Linked DNA regions of Rattus norvegicus. The protein of the gene in region 2 binds, or shares a complex with, the protein of the main gene of each other region. Each region holds a gene or a part of one and is shown on either strand. Other genes may lie near its edges. A codon is read from its position in the direction of its gene.

The links.
Region 1: the proteins of Cast (region 2) and Capns1 are in contact, whole or in part, in a crystal structure (PDB 3BOW), measured with the Rattus norvegicus proteins. Residues at the interface, in NP_445747.2 of Rattus norvegicus: Pro652, Ile653, Asp654, Ala655, Leu656, Ser657, Asp659, Leu660, Asp661; in NP_058814.1 of Rattus norvegicus: Phe103 (codon at 596), Leu106 (codon at 587), Gln109 (codon at 578), Leu110 (codon at 575), Ile125 (codon at 399), Lys128 (codon at 390), Val129 (codon at 387), Arg132 (codon at 378), His133, Leu136, Phe166, Trp170, Lys174, Gln177, Lys181.

What each region holds. Positions count from the first base shown.
Region 1 is NC_086019.1:94,579,126-94,583,615, forward strand, and holds the start of Capns1 (calpain small subunit 1), read right to left. Parts: upstream 3,097-4,490; 5' UTR 3,059-3,096; intron 2,160-3,058; 5' UTR 2,145-2,159; coding exon 1,930-2,144; intron 952-1,929; coding exon 918-951; intron 654-917; coding exon 564-653; intron 433-563; coding exon 375-432; intron 271-374; coding exon 206-270; intron 1-205. UniProt on the Homo sapiens protein: Regulatory subunit of the calcium-regulated non-lysosomal thiol-protease which catalyzes limited proteolysis of substrates involved in cytoskeletal remodeling and signal transduction. Essential for embryonic development.
Region 2 is NC_086020.1:5,715,819-5,719,630, forward strand, and holds part of Cast (calpastatin), read right to left. Parts: intron 3,075-3,812; coding exon 2,970-3,074; intron 1,557-2,969; coding exon 1,464-1,556; intron 115-1,463; coding exon 79-114; intron 1-78.

The DNA.
Region 1 (4,490 bases), on a different chromosome or scaffold from region 2:
CCTGTTTCCTTTCCTATTACATTGTCCTTATCTAACAAGGTATCTGTAAAGGTTGGGTCTCCTAATCCAGGTAAAGTTCTGGTGGTGTCATGTAGGTAGGCCTGTGTCCTCAGGTATGAAGGCTTCACCTCGTCTGTCCTCAACATACTCCCAGAAAACACCCTCTTCACCCAAGACATCCTCCAGACTGGCCCCAAAAGGATACATCCATAACAGCCACCATGCTCCGACAAGTGTCAATGCCGAACCCATCAGTTTTCAGATCTGGGTCTGAGGGGGGTTAGATGGGTGGACAGGTTGAAGGTCAGAGGTCAAAGATCATCCCAGCCCATACGCCTCTACACCTTCATCACTCCCTGACCCTGGTCACTTACGTCGGGTCACGACCTTGTTGAGGATATTCATGAGTTCTGTAGCGCTGACCTCCATGTCCTGATGGCAGAAGTTAAGTATGGTTCAAGGGAGATGGAAAGAGGTCTGGATACCATAAAACAAAACGGGGTGGGAACTTCCGGTTTTTCACAGTCAGGTAACACCGTGGAGCAGCCACGCAGTATACTTACGTCTCCAGCCAGCTGGACAAAAAGTTTCCTGAACTGACGTTCCTCTTCACTCTCGTTGGCCTCAATATTAGAGTAATGGCTACGTGGGGGCTGCAGAGAGAAGCGATTTCAGAACAGACGTGGAGAAACACGTCTCTCTCCTCATACCCAAGATCCCAGGGAAAAGTCAGGGAGGGGTGGGCAGTTTGAGGTGAGTGTAGCAAGTAGCGTGGCTGAGACAATAGGGGCCCTCAAAAAGGACATTCTTGCCGGCAGGGGAATTTTCCAAGGAAGGAAGGGGAGCCTTATACATAGGAATGGGTAAGATAATGCGGGCAACAGGCCTAGGGAGGAAGGGTCTCTAGGGCCGCTTACCGGGGGCTCCGGGTTGTACTGCGCAGCAGCCTCGCTGAGGGGAGACAAGGGTGAGTTAGCGCATGGGGGCAGAGCCTCCAACGGGCGGCAGAACGGTCAGTCAACCCCTCAAACTCCAGCCCTCCTCTTCCTTAAGGGGTCCCTCCTCCTCTCGTCTATCTCGTCGTTCTCACCTGGCCCAATCAACAGCTTTCTGCGGCTCCTCCTTTTCCTCCATCAGGCCAACCCCTCCCACCTCCCAAGGGCCCACCCCACGGAAGAATCCTTACCTTGCCCCAGGAACACCCACCAATCACAATGTCAGAAGCATCTTAGCCCCAATCAAAATCCCGAAAACCCACCAAACTTAACAGGGCCCGCCCCTTGAAGAACTCGCTTCTTAAGGGGTCGGTCTGCACCAGTTTCCCCTATGCCTCTATCTTCCTCAGGTCAGGTCTTTGTCCAGAGCCTGACTCCATCGCTCCTTTTGCAGATTATCTAGCTTCCCAACCTCTCCCCCATCAACACCTACTCCTCCCAGGAATCACTGCTTGGATCGCCAAAGATAATCAGGTGTCAGTCACCTGCTCTTACCCCAGCTAGGATTTTTATCCACCAACCCAATCAGCTCCCGACCCCACACAACCTTCTCTGGACCATTTCTTCTTTCGGGGGTTCTGATCTCTCCTATAACAGCAAGCTCCACTTAGGTCAAATCTTAAATCATGGAGCAACTTCAGATCCACTGGCTCCGCCCCCAGTGAAGACTGGATACAGTCTTATAGGATCATACCTTCCCCAAACACAGAAGAGTACCTCCTCCCCACCCCCAAGAAACTGCATCCTATTTATTGACCCACAGAAGCAAGTTTACTAACCCAGTTTTTAAAAAGTGACACCAGTCTCGTTGGGATCCCCTTAGGGCCACTTTTCCAGTTTGGACCAGCCCAACCTAATTAGGATTCCCATGTCGGACCTCTAAGTGAGCTTCTTTATAATTTGGCCCACCCTGCCCCTTTAGGCCCCGCCTTACCTGATGGCGCTAATGACTCCGCCCAGGATACGCATGGCTGTTCCACCGCCTCCGCCACCTCCTCCCAGTCCCATGCCGCCACCGCCGCCTCCACCGCCGCCGCCTCCAGCAGCTCCGCTGATCAGGCCTCCGAGCACATTGCCCAGGCCCCCGCCCAGACCCCCGCCTCCCCCACCGCCACCGCCGCCCTTCAAGAACGAATTCACCAAGAACATGTTTGCAGCAGAGTCCTGTAAAGAAAAGGGGGTGGGTCAGGTAGTCGTCTTGCCAAGAACCCAGCCCTTCCCGCAAAAAGAAAAAAAAAGAAAGCATTTCCGGCAATTAGATTGGGGACAGAACAGAGGCCTCGGGATGGGGGCAGAATCTGGACAGGTGACAGGAAGGTGCGAAACCTCCTAGGGTCTAGCAGGTACCCTGGCCCAGGCTTGACTGCAAACGTGGTCAATGAGGACAGGGGTAGAGCTGGACGAGCGTGGTGGCGCTCAACTGTAATCCCAGAAATTGGGAGGCTGAGGCTGGAGGATCAGTTCAAGGCCAACCTCGGCTACAGCGCCAGCCTGGATTACCCCTGTCTTGAGGCAGCGGGGAAACAGGGGATTCCCCATGTAAGGACCCCCACTCCCCAGTTGGGTAAGGTATACCGGACGTGTCTCAGATCCAGGCCTTCCAGAATTGAGCTCAGGGTAGGGGTGACCCAGGGCTGAGTCCAGGAAGTCCCTAATGTGGATTAGGACATTCAGGTAGTTTCGACAGAGGAACTACACTGTCATTAGGGATCTGTGGGACTCCGGCCTAAAATTATGGCTGTGCGCCCGGAGGATCCCGGATAACGGAGTTCTACACACCGCAAATTGGAACCAGGATCTCGGATCGTGGTTCTAGACGCCCCAGATAATTTATGGGTGCCTCTCTGATCTTTGGGGTTATATTTTTGATCCTGAGTTCCGGGATGGCAAGGAGTGCTCTGGAGGGAATGACCAGCGTCTGACAGGCCTGGTTGTTCGGATCTGAGAACACGGGTCCTAAGACCCCCAAGGCCACGACTTTAGGGTCTCGCCAGATCTGAGGACAGCGGATCCCGGGCAGCGGGGTGCAGGGGTGCTGGACTGAAGCGCCCCGTCTCACTTACGGATCCGGCGGTCCGCGGTCTTGCTCGCCCGCCGCTGGGCCTCCCGCTGTGTCCGGCTCTGGAGGGCGGGGCCGGTGACTCAGGCAGCTCCGGGTTAAAGCCGGCTCGCCACCCAGCCGCGGTCCGCGCGGTCCTAGAGCCGCCATTGCAGACTGCGCCTGCGCAGGAGGCCCCGCCCTACGTAGCGGGCTATGATTGTGTCTCTACCTAGCTCAGCCCTCCCCGTACACACACTGCTGGTAATTCAACGCTCTCCAGATTTAATAGCTATGAGTACGAGTAGACCATTCTAACGCCCAGGCACTGGAGCCTCCAGGAACTAGATCCAGGCTACCTGGTCACCTTTGCAGTATATAGTTGCAAAAAAGGACTTCAGTTATTGTCATTCATTCATTCATCGTGCACTTTGAGATAGAGTTTTGTTCAACACCCTAAGCTGATCTAAAGCCCTGGCTCACCTCAAACTCGAAGCAATCCTCCTGCTTCTGCTTCTCCAATGCTAGGACTCTAAATCTTTAGTTTACCTTCAGTTTGTGCCTCCCACCCAGGTCGCCTTTTGGCTTCTAGTCTGGCTGTCTGGCCGCTCCGTTGGGACTATGTAAACCTTGGTTTGAGCCTGTATTGCTCATCCCTAAAACAGTGACCTGGTGTCTCTGAGTAATGATTTCCTCATCTGTAAGGAGGGAACACAGCCAGGCGTGATGACGCACACCTGTAACACCAGCCCTTGGAGGTGGGGGCGGCTACATGAGACCCTCGAGGACGTTAGACACAGGTTCCCCTGGATGAGCCCCAGAATTAAGTGATAAATACAGGGAAAATGGCAGCTCTCCTGTTAGTCCCCAGGTCACCATATTGTTCCCTCAGCTAGGAGCTCACCCCGATCCCTCAGCTCATTTACTCTTGCCCATCCTTAAGCAATATCGACAAGTAACTGCCAGTTCCTCCGTGCTCTGCGCTCACCAGGTTGTGTGCCCTCGCGGCAGGACTGTGGGACAGACGCTGTTATTGTCCCCATTCTATATATAGGTAAACTGAGGTTAAACAACCAGTCTGCCTTACCTGTTCAAAGAATCTCCAATAATTTAATGTGATCATCAGTCAAATAAGATCTCAACGGACAAAATTGCAATGGCACTAACACCACCTAAGGGCTTGCTGGGAGCAAGCCAGGTTAATTGTTGCTCAGGCCTGTGTGTGTGGGAAGCAAGACTTAACCTTAGCGAAACTGGAAGCTCTGAAAGGCGGGATCACAGAGGGTGGTGACCCAGATCTAAGCCAGAGCGGATAAATGATTTGGTGATGACTAATGTGGATTCCCTCTCTGCCACACCCCTCTGCCACACCCCTCTGCCACACCCCTCTGCCACACTAAGCAGTCTGACCTCAGGCTCAACTCACTGGCACAAGCCCTGCCCTCTGCCTACAAATA
Region 2 (3,812 bases):
AAATTTTAATTTCTTTAAAATTTGAAAGAAAACTACATGTATAATGAAAACAATGAAAGTATACATTATAGTATTTACCTCTGTGTTCTTTGTCAGTGGCTTCTCTGGTTTGTCCTTGAAAACAAGGTAGTTTTTTGGTTAACCACAGTTCTGTTTAGGTTCACTCAGTCATAGAGTGAGCATCTATTATACAAAACTGATGAACTAGGCTCCTAACCCAGATTTCTACCAAATCTTCACTTTCATAGCCATTTCAGTAGCTTGATGCAAAGATCTGATTCTGGAAGTACAGAGACTATGTAGGAATTTTCTGGTACCAGGTATTATCATGAATTCCCACCAGATACCCTGGGTTTTTGTTTGGTTGGGTTGGGTGGTCCTGGGAATGAACCCAGAGACTAATACATTCCAGTTTGTTTATTTTGTTGTTGTTTCATTTAAAACAAAAAACAAAATCTAAGTTGCCCAGGATGAACTTCCAATGTTTCTTTATACTTCCAAATAACTGGATGTAGGCCTCCACCACACCTAATGCTCATTACAGTTTCAAAAAATTTAAAGATTATTTTCAGGCAGGAATTGCAAGTACCACTAACTTACAAAGTTCTTAAGGCAAGAGCAATAAATGAAGCTCCTCCAATGATGACAAACAAGATGTGGCAATATCAACATAGAGGATGGTGACTGATAGCAGGAGGCAGATTTATAGGGAACAAGGACTCCTAGGCTTTGGCCAGGGAGAGCCTGCCATACCCATGGCATCTGAGTATACTGATGGAACTTGGACTCCCTTGTTTCCATTTGATGAGCAGACCTGGGAAGAATGATTCATCTTCTAACAGCTCTAAAGCTCTTGTAAATCAAACAGATAAGGGGAGGCAGTCAGATTGGCCTATGTGATGGGGAGATAGACCTGGTGCCTCCAGAGAGGGTTTTTTTTTTTTTCAGGACCGAACCCAGCTAGGCAAGCACTCTACCACTGAGCTAAATCCCCAACCCCACCAGAGAGGGTTTTGCCTGCACTCCAGGTTTCTGCTTGTGCTCCTGTGGAGAAGGGAATGTTGGCTGTTGTGTTTATTTGACCTCTCAGTTCTTGTACCATCCCACCTCTGCTTTCCCCACACAGACTGCTTCTTTGACATCTCATTGATTCCATCAGTTTTAGAGCCTTTTCTTTAAAAAATTTAATTATATATTTCTTGGAATCATCATTATACCTAGTATTATTCAAGTGTCTTTATGGTAGGACCCAAACATGAATATCTAATAAGACCATCTCAAGTAGATACAACAGAGGGCTAAGAAAGCCTGTTTGATACCTCTGGGACATTAAAAGTACTCAGTCATGATGTGCTTTTATTGCTAGATAAATAGCGGCTTCAGCCTCTATTCAGTTTCTGGGAAGTTATAATTGAAAAGTTTGAGAGCAATGACCTAATCTAGGCTGTTTGCCTTAGTTTTACCTTCCCATCATTATCCAGGAGATGCCTATATTCAGGGGGGATGGTGTCGTCTCTTTCTCCCAGTTTCTCGCTATGCTCTGCTTTGATTTTTTCCTACAAACATTGAAGAGATAAAGGAATGTTCACATCCTTCTTTACTTACAAACTACAATCCAAAGTATAGAAACTACAGTTTTTATAGTTTCATGAAGCAAAACATAAGGAACAACAAAATAGATGATAATCAGAGAGCTGATGAAAATTGTGACTCCTTATTTTTCTATACGTGAGCCAAATTTGTGAATTTTCAACTGAAAGGATCAAACAGAAACCCTCAGAAACCTTACTGGTAGTTAAAAGCCCAAAGGGATAAAATATTTTTCTGATTCGATTTTGCTTTACATAATAAAAGTCAGGTTCCAAAGCCTTGGTAGACAGATAATATTTATAGCTCCATTTTAAGGCACTGCAAAGGAGAAAGACTGGAGACACTGAAGCCTGAGCATACCTGCTGCAAGCCACACCCGTCCTGGTATCTTTACCTGTGAGGTTCCCTGGTCTCTATGGAGTAAGGATACACCTCTGTGCAGCATTAAAATTTAGGTTTTAAAATATATGGTAAGTTAATCTCAATATTTATATAATAATGATAGAATGACAATGACAGTGTCCTGTCTTTGTCCCATTGTTTCAGATGCTCGTTACATTACTTTTCTTCTATTATTTTCATTATTTTTCTTATGTGTACGACTTGTGTGCATACACCTATACACATGCACTTGCCACAGCATGTATATCTCTAATGTCATTTTCAACTTTCATTAGGCTTGATATACGATCTGTTGTTTTCCCAATGCACATGACAGGCTAGCTGATCCACAGACTTCTTATAGCTCTCCTGTCTGTGACTCCCATCTCTGTCCAGGCTGAAATCACAGATACTAACACTACATGACCAAGGACTGTACTCATGTTGTAAGGCCATCGTCCCCACTCCAGTTACTTCTTGATTCTAAAATATTATCAAGTCAGTTGAAATGGCTTGTTAAATATTATCTTAAATATACATGTTTGTACACATCATGTAGGAGACAGTTCATTTTGTCCTTCTAGAGATACCTCTGAAGAGTCAAAGTTCTCACACACAGTTTGAATTCAGATTCAGTTATGCTTGCAAAAGAGGGGCAGGGGAAACCTGTGCTAGGTGTGTGATCTCTGCCACTATGAATATAAAGTACATCCACTAAAATTGTATGCCTTTTGGGTAGTATGTCCTTATTTCCAAATAAGACCAAGAAAAAATATTGGGAGAGAAAAAACTTAAAACATAGCTCTGCTTTCATTTCATAAACAGGATGTTTCCTACAATGGAATCTGTTCCAGAAACATTTATCAGTGAGAAAAAGAGAAATATTACCTACAGCACTAAAACAGGAAAATTAGATGGAGCAGGCTAGCTGTTCGCTACCTCCAGATAATACCAATGTCTTTTTCCTTCTCTGTGGAGGGCAAGGGAAGATCTTTTACCTTTACTTTATCATCTAGTGGTTTGTTCTCATCTGGATCAGGCTGTCTTTGTCCAAGACTGTCAGAAAGTTCATCCAAGGCATCATCGAGTTCTTTGTCTCTCCTCTAAAAGGTAAATAATTCTGAATTAGTTATAAGCAGGCCAAATTGTTCAGGGAAGTCACCCAGCAAAGCCATCTTTTTAACATGGACATCTAGGAGTAAGTCATGGGGCCAGTCAATGTCAGAGAACTGATATGCTGACAGCGGAAGAGACAGAGAGTAGTGAAAGCATCTGCCTCTCCTACCCAGCTGCATCATGAAAGGTTAAAGAAGTCTTAGTGGAAGTATCAATGCTGTACCCAATGAATGAGGTAAATCTTACCTAGAGGTTCCATAAACAAACACTGCACTTTCCTTCCATTAAGAAATCAAACTTAATTTGAATCCACTGATGTAGTAAGCTAGCACAAGTTTTCAGGAGATCATGATGGAGGTGGGGGAGGGGCACACATTACTAAGTACACCATAAAACTCAGTACCATTATCCTGCTATTTCTTGGAGCACAAAAACCCACAGAAATATGGTGTCATTGATTGAACAGGTTGTCTCTGACAAATTATGAGGGTTCACAAAAAGACTTCAGAGAAGTTCTGAACTAGTTGGGATTGTCCCTACCTCCAGGAAGACCATTAAAGCTAAACAGAAGAAATTAATGAAAGGTATTTTAGGGGAAGAAACTGATCAATAAACTATGGTGACAGTCAAGCTAACTAAAACAACACTTTATTTTACATTTGTTTACATTGTTTACTATGTAATTAGCCCTCCAGTCTGAGTTTTCTTAGACTGGGAGAGAGGAC